2 linked regions of the Arabidopsis thaliana genome follow. The protein of the gene in region 1 purifies or fractionates together with the protein of each later gene. This does not show direct contact. Each region holds a gene or a part of one and is shown on either strand. Other genes may lie near its edges.

Region 1 (10,278 bases):
ATGATGAATATGTATAATCAGATGAATGTGCATGGAAAATTAGATGATCTGATGCTTGAAATGGAGAAGAATGGAGTCTCTTTTGACCAATTTACTCTTAGTATTCGTCTCAGTGCATATGCTGCAGCTACTAATATTGAAGGAATAGAGAAAACCATAGAAAAGATATCATTAATGTTTGAAACAGCTATTGAATGGATTTCGCAATGTTGAGCTCATCGATAAGGCACAATGATGATGAAAGCAGAAGGAAACAAAGTGAATCCCCATACGGATGCCCCATGAGAATAATTAGGAGCAGCAAATTTACTAAAGAATCCATAAATATATCTTATAAGGTACCTTTCTAGCTTTAAGAATTAGTACAGAAATATTACACAAATTTGTAAATTTAGTATTGTTACAAAGCTATGACCAAGAGAGAAGGAAAGTTCAAGTTTCTACAAAATCAGATTGCAAGCTCCTCACTGTCTGCCTTTAGCCGATTTCAGGTGTTTAGTGAGCATCCTTGGTGCAATAGCCATTGACATAAGCTCTTGAAAGAGTAATTTGCAAGCATATGGAATGTATACCTGAGAATATTTAGATGAAATGACATCAGACAAATGAGCATGAAAGAGATAAAGATGAATATGAACCACTTGCACAACAGTTTATGTTTACCTGAACAATATCTGTTTTGTTCTTGCAACCTCTGCATTCAAAAGAATTCTTCTTCAGATTTGCAATGGCAATGAGCCCGCAGACTTCACACACATGTACCCTATACGCATCACTCTGATCAAACAGCCTCTCTTTCAAAAAGTGAGCAGCACCATGTGCAATCATGCAATCGCGCTCCATTTCTCCAAAACGGAGACCACCATCACGTGATCGCCCTTCAGCTGGTTGTCTTGTTAAGATTTGCACCGGACCTCGTCCACGCGAGTGAATCTTGTCATCAACCATATGCTTCAATCTTTGGTAATATGTTGGTCCAAGGAATATCATAGCTGTGAGTGGTCTGCCCGTGTGACCATTGTACATTCTCTCAAATCCACGCATTTGGTACCCACACTTATGAAGGGCTTTGCTTATATTATCCACCTAACGACACAACATTGGTCAAAACTAATAATACCAAGCCCAATGCTAACTAAGCAGCTAAGGAAAATGCAAGTTACCGTGACATCTGTAAAGGGAGTAGCATCTCCTTCTTTTCCCATGTGAGCTGCCACTTTTCCCATGATGCACTCAATTAGCTGTCCAATTGTCATTCGAGACGGAATAGCATGTGGATTCACAATAATGTCCGGAGTGACCCCTTCAATCGTCCATGGCATATCCTCCTGCGTGTAGGTCATGCCAACAGTTCCCTTCTGACCGTGTCTACTACTAAATTTGTCTCCAATTTGAGGAATCCGCACGGATCTGACCCTCACTTTCACAAACCTCAAACCATCTGCATTTGTAGTCAATAACACCTACACGAAGTTACAAGAATTGATCAGTTTCATATTTCAATCCTGAAACTTTCTAAACCCTTAACTGCAAGGAAAAGCCAAAGTTACCTGATCCACCATTCCAGTTTCACTATGTCGCAAGCTTATACTATGATCACGTCTAGTGTATCGGGATGATTGTCCTTGAGCCTCATCTTGAGATATTGGAGTGGTTTTCCCAATGATAACATCTTCACCTGAAACTCTAGTACCCTATACCAAAAATAAAAGATTGTATGATATGCTTTCTAACATTAGTCACCTAATCATATCAGATAATAAATAATTAAGGAACAATAAATTATAAACTTACAGGAGGCGCAAGACCATCATCATCCAGTTTATCATAAGAACCATGTCGCATACCCTGCAGCAGAAACCCAAGTGTTAAACTTCACTTACAAAAAGCACCACTGAAGTATGAACCATGTGTCAATTACTTTCTTACCATTGTACTTCCTCTGTCTGGGCGCCCAAAGTCTTCTTTGACAAGCGTCCCCATTTTTTTCTCCTCATCTCTGTCAGCAAACGTGATTGCAGTATAAATAAATGGAAAGACCGAAGGCAAACGTCCAAAAGTATAGCATACTCACCTGTAAGACCGAAAGAACAAGGATCGAAAGAAACCACGATCTATTGAAGACTGATTCATGATGACAGAATCTTCTTGATTATATCCAGAATAGCAAGAAATGGCAACAATAGCATTCTGCACAAGAAGAAGAAAAAAAAACATTTGAGAGATTTGATACACGAGCAATGCTGAATTCTGAAAAACTTCTAGCAAAAATAACTTACAATTCCTGCTGGAAGTTGTCTAAAGTGAAGATGCTCCATAGCTCTTGTAGTAACCAAAGGCTTTTGTGGATAATAGAGAACATAAGCTAACGTATCCTGGTTGACAGAACAATAATAATTTCTTTAAAATATTGAGTGATGTAACAAGAGCTGACAAGAAAGACCACAAATTAAGAGCCTAGAACATACCATGCGAAATTGGTAGTTGGTGACATAAATTCCCATTGCTTGCTTCCCCATGGCAGATTGATATGTATTACGAGGTGACTAATACATCAAAAAGTAAAGGGTTAGTTAGCATGAAACTGAATTTACATAATGAAATCGCTTCTGATAGAAAAGTCATTTAGACAGAGGTACCTGATTATGGTCAGGAAATGGTATGATTGAAGCACAGACCCCCAATATCAGAGATGGGTGAATCTCACAATGTGTGTAGTTTTCAGTATAAGCCTCTTCTGGGCGGAGTCTAGCTTGAACCAGATCCTACAACAAACATAAGAGTAAGATTTCTGCAGAAATTAGTGCACCACAAACTCATTTAATCACATCTTCATTTCATTACTCACACTGATAGTCATGGAAATCATGGTCGTTTCCTCTTCTTCTGTGTCTATGTATTCTATAAAGCCCTTAGCAACCAGATGATGCCAACCATCTTCTTCTGCACTTTCCTGGGTTATGAAAACAAATATTGGTACAATGGAATTTATAACAAAAGATACTTTGATAACAGGTAAAAATTAGAATTTTACCCTTTGTTGCAGAGCATAGATATCTCTCTTCTTTATTAAGAGCTTCTGATTATCTACAATAAACAACGGACGGCTACAACGTCCATAATCAGTGTATATCCGGAGCTCTTTAAGACGGATATCTCTAACTACACCAACTTCAGTGTTGACATCAACCTGCAAGAGGAAAAAGTAATATGTCACTTCTGCATAAAGTTGCAATATTTTCACTAGCATATATGGAAACGTGAAAGAAACTGCATGCTTACCCTTCGTCTCAAACGTCTCAACGTTTTCACCAACATGTCAGGATCTCTATGAACTCCAACCCACATTCCATTGACAAAGATTTTTGTGGCTTGGGGTATAACAGATGGAGATATTTCCTATATTCAAGTTAAGACCTTCAGGAAACCACAAGAACCAAGGAGGCAGATGTTGGGTAAGAAATTGAATGTGAAATGCTACAGACCTCAAAATTCTCAGTACCCCATTCTTCCAAAAATTCCAATATAGGATAAGCAGCTGACCCAACTGTTATGTAGACCATGAGAGCCAAGTTTTTCACTAGACCACAAGCCTGGTACAGCAAAGCCACAATGAGCAATGGAACTATAAAATCCGAAACACCCTTATTTTATAAATATAACAATTTTACCTGTCCTTCAGGTGTTTCAGCAGGGCACATCATTCCCCACTGTGAGTTGTGCAGTTGTCTTGGTTTTGCCAATTTTCCTGGCATATCAGACTTGATTAGATTCAAGTGGGATAAACAAAAGTACAAGCCAATCTAAATTGCAAGGATGTGGATAATAAAGAGAACCATGACTAAAATACACCAACTGTACGAACAGTTACACAGAGACAAAATAGAAGTGCAGGAAAAGAACGAGGCTTTACCTTCACGTCCTATTGGAGAATTGAGACGCCTCAGATGTGACAAAGTCGAAGCATATGTCAACCGGTTAAGAACCTGTTGTTAGTTAAGTCTTTAGAGCCATATAAATCATGCAATGAATTATAATAGGCCAAAACAGTAAACCCGATAACATACATCAAGAAATTATTGGAACTCAAAAACATAATTAACATAGAATTATCCTAACCTGAGAGACTCCAGCTCTTGTGCCAGCAGCGTTTGCCTGGCCCCAGTTCCCAGTAGCAAGAGAATATTTCAGGCCAGAGGTAATTGTTTTAGCCTTAATGGCAAATTGAAGATTGACTTCTTTGCCATTGTCAACGCACTGTCAAAGAAACATGAATCAGACTTCCAAACACAGAATAACAACTTAATACTAAAGTCTTTGGCTCGAGAAAGAGTAACTATGTAAGATACCTTTTGAACATAAGATCTCACATCCCTTGTTAACTTTCGGAAAAGCTGCATGTAGAGAAGATGTTAGGTCAGTAAGAGATAAAAAAAACACTGATACTCAACAATCCCCAAGAGTGTATAATTGTGTGCCGGGAACAAACCATTCTAAATAGCCCTCCAAGTAAAGGACCAGCAAGATCCAGCCTTTTGTTACCATAATGATCCCTATCATCTTCTGGCCTTCGGCCAAGTGCACAAAGCAGCAGCCGGTGTATGATATACCTACGGATCATAGCATAATATGAGCAACACAGAAACATGTTAAGTCTATAAACATTACAAGTGAGTTAAATACCTACCCAAAATAGTAAGCTTTCTTTGTCTCGCAATGCTCCCCAATTCCTACATGAGGAAGCATTTCTTTCTGAAGGATATCTCTAGCATACCTGCAATGATAATATTGCAATCGCAAACCTCCAGTGTGAACATCTCAATAGTTGACATCTTAGATCATAATGTCCAACTTAATTGGTTTAGATTATCACATACTTTATCCTTTTTTCCTTGGTTACACCAACAGTTGCACCACGTTTTCCAATATAGTCAAGTGCAACCTGAAGTAATATGAAAGTTATCAAGTGATTGCAAGATCAATTCCTCAAGCATAATAAAATGTCATTAACCAAGTGAAAAAAAAGTGGATACCAGCTGATTTTGAATAACGAAAGCTTCTTCCAAGGAAGGCCTGAGCAACTCCATCATCTGGGTATCGGCAAAATCATAGCAGATGTGTTCCAATATGTCCTTATCGGCAACAAATCCCAGTGCACGAAATACTATGATAATAGGAATTTCTGTTCTGATGTATGGAAGAGTACATCGAATATACTGTCCAGATGAACCCTGCATCCATTTGCAACATAGAATGTAATTTATTTACCATTATCTAGAATTTAAAGAATAAATTTCGAGGAAGGATATAGTAGAGTTAAGACTAATTAGCTTTCTCTTACCCCTTTTGCACTAGCACGAGCAAGCATACGCACAAACATTGTGCTTGGAGGCCTATTTTGGTTTTCAGCCATAGAACGGACTTCACCAACATAAGCATACTTATTTGGCTGCCTTTTCTTGAACACATAAACATGATTCGTACTCATCTTCTCCTGAGCAATCAGAACCTTTTCACTGCCATTAATAATGAAGTATCCACCCTGATCATAAGGACATTCTCCAAGCTCTGTCAGGTCTTTCTCCGAGTTCTGAAACAAGGTACAGTAACTAGACCGGAGCATGATGGGAACCTAGCAAATAATCAAACAAGAAGAAAACATTTCTACTATCAGAACAGTAGAGTACATGGAAACACCTAAATAAATGTGACACAATGAACTGAGTTCGGACACCTTTCCAATGAAAACTTTAGTAAAATCCTGTGTCTCCGTAACTTCTTCACCATCATGCCCTTTCTTAATAACTCTCTTAGTAACATCGACATACAAAGGCGCAGAGTATGTGAGATTTCTCAACCTTGCAGCCTTAGGGAACAGGGTGGCAGTCTCTCCATCAGACTCTGTCATCATAGGTTTACTCAGATAAATCTGTCCAAAGCTAATCTTGTAGATTGTCTGCAGGAAAACAGCTATATCAGACATACAGAAAAACAGATAGCAAAACAGCTATATCTCAGCTCACACAAAGTCAAAAATGATTTGAGCTTCAACCGATAATAAAGACCACTGAAAGGACACTTTGAAAAAAGCGAAGAGCTCAAGCATTAAATGGAAAGATAATCTCGGAAAATCAATGAGCTTAGCTACTCGACAAAGGCAGACCCTAATTGCAACAAAACTTAAAAACTGATTTAAGCTTTAACCAATATTCAAAACCACTGAAAATACACCTCAAAAAAGCGAAGAGCTCAAGCATCGAATACAAAGATAATCATGGGAAATCATTGAGATAAGCTTCTCAGATAAGGGCTAACAATAGACTGTCTGCAGGAAAACAGACCAAAGGGACAGCAAAAAAAGATACCAAACTCATTTTTATAGTGCCAAAACTGATTTGAGTTTCAACCAATACTATAAATCCTCCTCGAAAGAGATGAGCTCAAGCATTAACTCAAAGATAATCTCGGGACATTAATAAGATTACCAGCTCAAAGTCAATATCCGGACATCAATAGTCAAAATCATTTTTTGACTCTTGAACAGCATATAGCTCAAGCATTGAATAACAAGACAATCTCGGGACATCAATAAGATTCAGGTAAACCCTAATCGCACCCAAACGGTAGAAGCTCAAATCGAAACACTTTAAAACCGCCACAAACACGATAAACCCGCACATAATTTCGAATTCCCATAGAAACCCTAGAAAAAAACAAAAACGAGGAAACAACCTCCGCAAAATCGGACTGATGGCCAGGATTATGCTGAGATTCAGGTCGGATCTCGATATCAGCAGACTCATCAACGATTTCTTGCATAGTATTTTGAATAAACTCATCAAACGAATCCAGCTGTTGACGAACGAGACCTTTCTCTTCGAAATAAGCAGATATAACAGCCCACGCGTCCTCCTGGGTAATCTCCTCATCGTCATCGTCTTCTACATATTGAGGTTCAGGTTCGTATTCGTTGTACTCCATTTATTCTCACTCTCTGAAGATTAGAGCACAGCAAACTTCACTACTCGAGCTCTCGGAGACAAAGAGAGAGACAGGACGCAGAGAATGAGACGGCTTTGTGAGATTGTGAGTTTATAAAGGCTCGAGAGAGAGAAGTCGGCTTAAGTTTATGGAAATAACCGGTTTGTATCAATAACCGGTTTGATTAAATGGGATTATAAAAAGGATCGGTTTGGTTGTTAGAGAGCTTGGATTGTTAAATGACGGAAACACCCTTACTATATAAAGAAAAGTCTCCGGCTACATTTTTGTGGCGTCAGCGATATTTTCGGAAGAAGAGAGAGAGAGACGGAGAGTGAAGGCGGAGGAAGGGAGAGAGAGATGATACCGCAGCAATGGACGCCGCCGTGTGGGAGCAAATGCACGAATAAGTACTCAGCATTTACGCAGCTTCCATGTATGTAATATCTGGACTCTTAATTTGTGTGAATCGGATTCGTTTTTGAGTTTTGATGTTCGTGGTCCGTTGTTTTTTGATGGTTTAGTTTTCGATGATGATGATAAGAATCTGTTGTTGGAGCTGATAGATTGGGTTCTGATTTGGATTGGTGATTGATTTCTTGATTCAAAAGTCAATTTAGTCTTCCGAGTGTTTCTTCTTTTTGTTGTTGTTTGGAATTGAAATTGGGATCTGTAAATTGGATTGTTGATTGATTTCTTGATTCATAAACCCTAATTATTTGTTGGTGCACTCTACTTCATTACGATTATACTAAACATTTTGGTCAAGAATCGCTTCTTTGGTTAGATTGGTCCAGAGACAACTTATAGTTGTAGTTGCAAGTATTTAAGAACATCCATCTTGACTCGTAATTGAATAATGTAGATTGAAGAATCGGCAACATTTATATTGATTACAAGTAAGGGAGATTATGCAGAGTTCTTAGAGCTTTTCTATCATGTAATTAAGAAAATGGTTAAATTAGTAGGAGAAAGTGGAAGATAATAAGTTGTAGTTTATGAACTGAAAGAAATTTAAAGGGAGAGAGTCAAAGTAACGGTATCAAAGATGCTTCTGTATCCATGTTGCTTCTATGAACTATTGACATATATGTATGCTTAAGCTAGTTAAAGGGCTTGGTTTGGCTGTTTCTGTCTTTCTGATGAAAGCTTTTCATTCTCTGATCTCTGAATTTCATTCATGGGCACAAAAGCTAGCTGAACTTATGCTTGGTATGACATTTTTTCCATAGCAATCTGGGTTTTTTTTCAGCTTTAGCATCAGTGTTTATCCTCCATGTTGTTGTATGACATTTTTTCCATAGCACTAATGTAATTCCTGAATCTGTGTAGGGAGAGTATTCTGCAAAAAGGGATGTGATGCCGATAGTGACTCATGGGAAGATTGTAAGCATTTCTTTTTAATTCTTTGTAATCTGTAACGAAACTGTTGATGAAATGATGAGCGGTTAGATTTGTCCTCACTATGGAACATCATAAAAACCAAGCTTGTCTCCTACATAACGAAATTACATGTTCATGAAGAGTATCTTCTGCTTTTCAGGTTTAAGTTTCCAAGTTAATGAATTGGTGTAATAGTAGTGTACTCTCTATAGGTGTAGGAGACTGCAGTGAAATTTGCTACAAAGATCCTGTGCTAAAAGACAGACCATGGACTGCTGTTATAGATCGTTCTCCTGGAGATGCCAAATACTCTGAGGTAATTCACACAATGAATCTTTTTCTTCAAAAAAGAGAAATGGACTGAACCGTATCTAATTGTTGTACATGTAACTCTGTTTTTAAATTCAGGAATGCTTTCACGCATGTGTAGCAGGCTGTGGTTACAAGGTTTGTTTCCTTGCTTCAACCTCAATAATTTGATGCGTTTGGAAATACACTCTACTTCTCTGAACCCGTGTGGCTGTATTTTTTTGTCATCATGCAGTTTGATGTTGAAGCTGAGATAGTCAATAAGGTGAAACCAAAGAGACCTCCACCACCACCGCCAAAGCCACAACCACCACCACCACCACCACGTTCTCAAAAACCAATGCAGCCTCCTACTGAGGATGTTCTTGCAACTTCCGCTTGACGTATCTCAACCCCCATCAAAGGCTAACACTTGGAACTCCTCAATTTTTTGGTATCTAAACATATGAGGGAGTATTACTTTTCAGAGTAGCCAACTCAAAGGATTGGTCCATAAACTTTTTTTTTTCTTTTTCTTTTGATAGTTTTTGCAATAGAGATTGGAGAGTAGATATTAGTGGGACTCGTCCCGTGATGAAAGTTAGAGCATCCAAAAAGCTCAAGTTCCTAAATTCCATTGAATTTTTTGTTTTCTTAATATGTAGAATTTTCATTCTTATCAAAAGAAAAACAAATGTAGAATTTCCTTTCATTAGATCCAATAATATTTGAACGGCACAAAATTTCCAAATAAGAAAGAGTGACAAAGAGTCTAGCCAATCAGAGAATGAGGAGAAAGTTTTCACAAACATCCTTGACCGTTGTAACTAATTAGTAGTAAATTACTTATTACCCGGGAAAACCGTATTTAAGTAAAGAAAGTTTTCAATTTCACGATTTTACTTGCCATAACATTTGTGTACGTGTCGTTATACTATTTGTCAGATGACTTATTTCCCTTTTTCAATTGTCGGGAATATTTTGTAGTAGACTTACTATAAATATATACAATTCTAGCTTACTCCACAAATAAACCAATAATCTTTGTAACGAAGGAAACCAAAAAACAATCATGGCTGATTCTTCCTATTCTTTTGTCATGAAGATGACAGTGAAGACCACACCGGCGTCAGATTTAGCTTTAACAAACCTCGCCTATTGTTCTCCGTTTGATCTCCATCGTTTCGCCGTTCCCGAAACCGCCGATCTCTTCCTCGCTAACGTCGGAGAAGTTTTTGTTCTATCAATCTCATATCCTTTTTTTATTCACTTACAATTTTGATCTTATTCACACTTTTCTTTATTAATTATCGTCGTTTCTAAACATTTTGTCCCACGGGTTTATCACATCTTTTTCAGATTCCAATTAAGCAGTTATACCTTCTTATGGAGATGGCAGCTCAAAGAGATGGCAGGTCTGAAGAGCCGGTTTACATTAGGAAGGAAAAACTCGACATCACTCATTTCATGGATTGTCTTCAGGAATTTACCCAAGAGATTTGAAGTTTCAGTTCATTATTCTTAGACTCTCATATGTAATGACATCGTAGTAAGGAGAAGATTCATATATTGCACTAAAATCCTTTGAAGATGTCAAAGTTGATATTTGATTATTGGCACTTGACT
Region 2 (5,957 bases), on another chromosome or scaffold:
ATTTCATAAAGTAAAAAACAAGAAGTAATCAAAATTAATTAACTTCAAATAAAAAAAGAAAAGTAAAAAAGTAGAGAGATTGTGATCATAAACCTTGATGATTATGTTTAAGTAAGCATCTTTGCAGTGCAACCACATGCAAAGGCTTTAGGTTAATTTTAAAAGCAGTAGCCAATTATCCAATTTGGTGATCTATAGCTAGTCTCAATCTTCATGAGACAAACATAGGTCCCCCTCCTCTGTCTGATCTAACAACCCAACTCCAAATTCTGCTTTATCAGAAATTATATGAAATCAATTACCTTTTGGTGCCCAACAACCTCCATTTTCCTTCAGCTTCAAGGCTCATCATCATTACTACTTTCAAATTCACAGCTCGATTACTAGTACGACATAGACATAGACATAAAGACAGAGAATGGACCCAAGTAGTATCAACAGCAGCAGAAGAAAGAGAATTGGAGGAGCCGTTGTTGCTGCAGGTTCTGTTTGGGAAACGAGAATGCAGAGCGATGATGAAGTTTGTAATAACGCCATTGTTCTTCATGTTACAAACGAAGACAAGACTTCTTCTACTAAGCAAATGACTTTAAAGGATGAAACTTTATTAGGTGTTAATGGAAAGAGACGGACTTGGAAGTCTAGAGCGTCCGATGTGAAGAACCCATCAACGCTTGAGATTGTTCGAGCCAATTCTCTGAAGGTGACGAAGCCGAGATCAATTGGTACTCCTCCGATGACGCCGAGGAGATCGTTGTCTAGTAGTGATTCTAATGATAAGAGTCCGAGTGTGTCGGTGGTGGCGAAGAAGGCAAGATCTGAATCTGTAGAGGGGATTGAGAAGAAGACTACTCCGGGTCGAGTTAAGAAGATCCGATCGGAGGTCTGCACGACGATCGTTAAAGCCGGTGAATTTGATTCAGTTGCGTTGAGGAAAGTGAATTCGTTGCCATCTCCAAATTCTGAGAAATCTGATACGAAAACAGAGCAAGAAGTGACTATCATTGAGAATTCGAAGATCCCAGAAGAAGTCAAGGAGTTTGGTGTTTGTCAGGAGATGATCGTATCTGCTAAATCAAACGAAAATGAGCAGATTGACAATGGCGACCAGGAGATTGGTGATCAAGATGATTATGAAGAAGATGGAGATGAGGAGGAGGAAAGAGAAGTGGAGAAGAAGAGTGTTGATGTGAAGGAGATAAATGTAGCCAAGGAAAACAGAGTTGGTGGTGTTGAGATTAAAAAGTTTAGTCAATTTCAAAACAGAACATCTCCATCTCCGTCGTCCGTTCGTAAAATTTCGCCTCCGGTGATCAAAAGGGCAACTTCTGTTTACTCGGCCCCACCAAATTCTACTTCAAGCACAGGTTGTTTAATCCGAATTTCAGTGCTTTGTTTCATCGACCGCTATTTGCTTACTGAATTCTGATGAATCCTCTGTTTTTCACGACTGTTTCCAGATAGATTTGCAGAGCAAGAAGACAACTTTACTCATTCACAGAGTAAATTGCAGAGTCTGGGTGAGTTTCTTAACAGTTTACTGTGCATAATTCCATCTACAAATTTTTTTACTATGAAAAGTCTAAAGTATGTTAAATAATGAAATGAAATCTGGACAGTGGATCTGGTGATGTGGAGGGATGTATCAAGGTCGACGCTTGTGTTTGGCTTCGGAACATTCCTCATCATCTCTTCTTCCTACGCCAATGATCTCAATTTCAGGTTCTTTAGTTCTTTTCAATTGATCAAGGAGAATCTACACACAAGTTAGTTAAGTAGTATGGAACTAAAATGTGATGAAAATGTACAGCTTCATATCGGTGGTAGCGTACATGGGACTCATCTATCTCGGTCTCATGTTCGTATTAAAATCACTGATCCACAGGTTTGATACATAGACCTATTTCTCTCTCTCTATCTTTGCATGTTGTTTTTGTGATTGGGTTTAATAGGCATGTAATAATGGACGCAGGGGAATGGTGGAGGAGGAGAGACATAAAGTGGTTGGAGTTAGAGAGGAAGATGTCAAGAGGATGCTCAGACTCATAATGCCTTATCTCAACGAGTCTCTGCATCAACTCAGAGCTCTCTTCTCCGGTGATCCATCAACCACTCTCAAGGTAAGTCTTTTTCTTCTCACTTTCTCTCCTTCGTTTCCTCTTTCTCCCTTGACCTTAATAAAGAAGAGATGATGTTTTGCAGATGGGAGTAGTGTTGTTTGTCTTGGCCAGGTGTGGCTCTTCTATCACTCTTTGGAACCTCGCCAAATTTGGTACCTCTAGACTTCAAGATTTCTTGTTTTAAGAAGTGGTGTATGTAGATTTCTGACTTGCGAGTGTTTTGTCCTCGTGAGAACAGGCTTTTTGGGAGCATTTACAATACCTAAAATCTTCATATCATACTCAACACACTTCTCTGCATACGGTAACTAAAAACTCCTTCAATATCTTTCAGTTACATCTTCTATGAAACAGTTTTTAATCAAACAAAGTTGTGTACAATTCAGGAAATTTCTGGATGAGGAGATTCAGGGACGCATGGGAATCTTGCAATCACAAAAAGGCAGTGGCTTTGGCACTTTTCACCTTAGTTTGGAACCTCTCCTCAGTCACTGCCCGTGTTTGGGCAGCATTCATGTTACTCGTCGCCTTCAGATATTATCAACATAAGATGATTTGGACAACTGATCAAGCTGATGATGATGAGGATGACAATGAAGAAGAAGAAGCAGAAGAAGAAAAAGAACAAGTCCCTCCTAAACACAAAAGGGCTCCTCCTCATATGATGATGCCTAATAAACTCAAGAAAATTTCTTAAATATACTAATTGTTTTTCCTCCATATATAAACAACATTTACTATGTAATCTCTTTAGTTTTTAGTTACTTCTCTATACAAAGCTTACAGTTTATAATGTGAATCTGATCTTCTAAGTTCAATTAACTTATGCCAACAATCTAAAACTCACACACTTGAAATATTTATCCATTCTTCTTAAACTTAGTTAGACTTGAACCCAAAAACAAACAATCTTAATTAGGCTTCTAACGGGCTTTAAGCGGGCCTTATTACATAAACTATTCAGCTTTCGTGAAATAACAAATCGGACAGAAGTTGAAAGCTTTACTTCTTCACTTTTACGGTTGCTCACCGTCGTGACATCTCCACTCTTTTCCTTTCAAAATCCAAAATCACGATTTGATTTTCTCTCGCCTCCGACGAACAAGTTTAAGGTACCACTCCATGTTTCTCTGCGATTTCAATTCGAACTCCATGTGACCTTTTCTCTGTCTGTGTTTAATTTAGGGTTTACTCAATTCGTGACTTTCATTTGCGTTGAAAAATTTATCTGATTTTGCTTTGTTGTGACTTGTGAGTGGTTTTCAGATGAGCGTAGCAAGTGATTCTCCAGTTCATTCATCAAGTAGTAGTGACGATCTTGCTGCATTCCTTGATGCTGAATTAGACTCTGCATCAGATGCTTCGTCTGGACCCAGCGAAGAAGAAGAAGCTGAGGATGATGTAGAATCTGGGTAAACTCAACTCTCATATGTCATGCATTCTCTCTAATTGAATCTTCGAACTCTCTACTGGTATTTACAGTGTGTATATTTTCTCAAACCATGTTTCTCAATCTTTTAGGTTAAAGAGACAAAAGTTGGAGCATTTAGAGGGTGAAGCTCTCTTTATTGATTCAGTCTTATTTTTCTGTCTTTCGTTTGTTCGATTGTATTGAATTTTGAACCTTATGCTTGCAGAAGCATCCTCAAGCAAAGGCGAATGCGAGCATCCAGGATCATTTGGGAATATGTGCTTTGTATGTGGACAAAAACTGGAAGAAACTGGTGTTTCATTTAGATACATACACAAGGTATCGATTTCAGAATAGCTTCTCTTAAATCAAATCTTAGTTTTTATTTAATGAGCTTTGGGAAATCTGTTTTCTTAGGAAATGAGGCTCAATGAAGATGAAATCTCCCGGTTGCGTGATTCAGATTCGAGATTCTTGCAACGCCAGCGGAAGTTGTATTTAGTTCTCGATCTAGACCACACACTGCTAAATACAACCATACTGAGGGACCTAAAACCAGAGGAGGAATACTTGAAAAGTCATACTCATTCTCTTCAAGGTGATACATTCAGCTACATTGTTTTGCTTCTTTTTCAAATGTGATCTTTGTGCATGGAACTTCAGTCTAGTATTTGTCTTTTTTTTTGTTCCATCTAGATGGTTGCAATGTTTCCGGAGGCAGTCTTTTCCTACTGGAATTTATGCAAATGATGACCAAACTGAGGCCGTTTGTTCACTCATTTCTAAAAGAAGCTAGTGAGATGTTTGTGATGTACATATACACAATGGGAGATAGGAATTATGCACGACAGATGGCCAAGCTGCTGGACCCCAAAGGAGAGTACTTTGGTGATCGGGTCATTTCTCGGGATGACGGCACAGTGAGACATGAAAAGAGTCTAGATGTGGTGCTTGGACAAGAAAGTGCTGTTCTGATTCTTGACGATACAGAGAATGTAAGTATGATTTGTAATTTGTCAATGTTTCATGTAACTTTTAATCATGATATTGAGTTGTGCTGATGATACTTGGTTTGATGCTCAGGCGTGGCCAAAGCACAAGGACAATTTGATTGTGATAGAGAGATATCACTTTTTTTCTTCGAGCTGCAGGCAGTTTGATCACAGATACAAGTCTCTATCGGAGTTGAAGAGTGATGAGAGTGAACCAGATGGGGCACTTGCAACTGTCCTGAAAGTCCTAAAACAAGCGCATGCTCTATTCTTTGAGGTATGCACTCACTGGATCTAAATAAAACTTATCTCTTGTCTTGTTGGAGTTTGTTGATTATATTATTCGTTTGTTTCAGAATGTGGATGAAGGCATATCAAACAGAGATGTTAGGTTAATGCTGAAACAAGTGCGTAAAGAGATACTTAAAGGATGTAAAATAGTGTTCAGTCGGGTGTTCCCAACCAAGGCAAAGCCAGAAGATCACCCCCTGTGGAAAATGGCTGAGGAACTGGGAGCCACCTGCGCAACGGAAGTGGATGCATCAGTGACACACGTTGTGGCAATGGATGTGGGAACAGAGAAGGCTCGTTGGGCCGTTAGAGAGAAGAAGTATGTGGTTCATAGAGGATGGATAGATGCAGCTAATTACCTTTGGATGAAACAGCCAGAAGAGAACTTCGGTTTAGAGCAGCTCAAGAAGCAATTGACCGAAGAAGAGTGATTTATGTAACAACAATGAGAAAGAAGAGATAGCTTTTTTTTGTTGGATATTAATTATGAATCTATGTCTAAAGTAAAGTTTTGTAATGTACATTACATTGTATCTCTGATATTTAAACAAGGTACTAATTTTTGGTTGATCTCCTTAATTATTTTGTTTCGTCTATGCTTATTTGCGAAGGTCTGTAATCTACCGACAACTTTTTTGGGCCGGGCCTAAATGGGCCGTATATTTATGTCCCTCATCTACTTTCATTTGTTTTGTTTGGTGTTTGTTTCTGGTTTCTGATTCCGTCTTCTTCGCTTAGACATGGCTCTCGATACTTATGCGTCGTCGAACCCTAATGATGTTCATGAGGATGTTCTTCTTAAAGCTAGAGATGCTTGTTACAAGGTCCGTCTTTCTCTCTTCTCATTTTCGTTGTTGTGATACTGATTTGTGTGATTTAGGTTAAATTGTAAGTGATCATTAATTGGTGCAGGCCAGAGATGCTTTTTACGCTTGTCTAGAAAAGGAATCTGGTAAAAAACCAACTGAAATCGCCACCGTGGGTCTTCTCTATCCTAAGGAGTGTAGCAATTCTAGAACCCAATTCGTCAACAACTGTCGGTCCTCTTGGGTACTCTCTTCTTTCAATTAGTTTTGCAAATTGCAATCTTTATATGATTTGTTTGGGAATTAATGGAAGAAATGAAAAATTGTAGGTGAAACA

The links. Proteins that work in one complex are often made in the same cells at the same time.
Region 2: the proteins of NRPB2 (region 1) and CPL4 purify together in Arabidopsis thaliana (affinity purification with western blotting; one study listed by BioGRID). This does not show direct contact.

The regions. Positions count from the first base shown.
Region 1 is NC_003075.7:11,535,220-11,545,497, forward strand, and holds NRPB2 (DNA-directed RNA polymerase family protein), read right to left. Parts: upstream 7,187-10,278; 5' UTR 6,982-7,186; coding exon 6,733-6,981; intron 5,957-6,732; coding exon 5,735-5,956; intron 5,633-5,734; coding exon 5,342-5,632; intron 5,232-5,341; coding exon 5,034-5,231; intron 4,943-5,033; coding exon 4,878-4,942; intron 4,775-4,877; coding exon 4,688-4,774; intron 4,611-4,687; coding exon 4,490-4,610; intron 4,395-4,489; coding exon 4,350-4,394; intron 4,258-4,349; coding exon 4,120-4,257; intron 3,987-4,119; coding exon 3,914-3,986; intron 3,749-3,913; coding exon 3,672-3,748; intron 3,594-3,671; coding exon 3,486-3,593; intron 3,400-3,485; coding exon 3,283-3,399; intron 3,191-3,282; coding exon 3,035-3,190; intron 2,954-3,034; coding exon 2,849-2,953; intron 2,766-2,848; coding exon 2,640-2,765; intron 2,547-2,639; coding exon 2,469-2,546; intron 2,376-2,468; coding exon 2,280-2,375; intron 2,191-2,279; coding exon 2,075-2,190; intron 2,000-2,074; and 13 more. Other genes in the region: AT4G21720 (defensin-like protein), read left to right, coding at 7,342-7,417, 8,314-8,367, 8,577-8,680, 8,773-8,811, 8,909-9,055. UniProt on the Arabidopsis thaliana protein: DNA-dependent RNA polymerase catalyzes the transcription of DNA into RNA using the four ribonucleoside triphosphates as substrates. Second largest component of RNA polymerase II which synthesizes mRNA precursors and many functional non-coding RNAs.
Region 2 is NC_003076.8:23,476,680-23,482,636, forward strand, and holds CPL4 (C-terminal domain phosphatase-like 4), read left to right. Parts: upstream 1-3,101; 5' UTR 3,102-3,232; intron 3,233-3,386; coding exon 3,387-3,532; intron 3,533-3,641; coding exon 3,642-3,673; exon of another isoform or gene 3,674-3,747; coding exon of another isoform or gene 3,748-3,757; coding exon 3,758-3,870; intron 3,871-3,948; coding exon 3,949-4,129; intron 4,130-4,227; coding exon 4,228-4,526; intron 4,527-4,614; coding exon 4,615-4,800; intron 4,801-4,879; coding exon 4,880-5,245; 3' UTR 5,246-5,457; downstream 5,458-5,957. Other genes in the region: AT5G58000 (Reticulon family protein), read left to right, coding at 419-1,367, 1,461-1,520, 1,620-1,722, 1,811-1,885, 1,973-2,120, 2,203-2,272, 2,359-2,424, 2,507-2,817; AT5G58005 (Cytochrome c oxidase, subunit Vib family protein), read left to right, coding at 5,555-5,638, 5,727-5,864, 5,950-5,957. UniProt on the Arabidopsis thaliana protein: Processively dephosphorylates 'Ser-2' and/or 'Ser-5' of the heptad repeats YSPTSPS in the C-terminal domain of the largest RNA polymerase II subunit (RPB1). This promotes the activity of RNA polymerase II. Required for normal plant growth.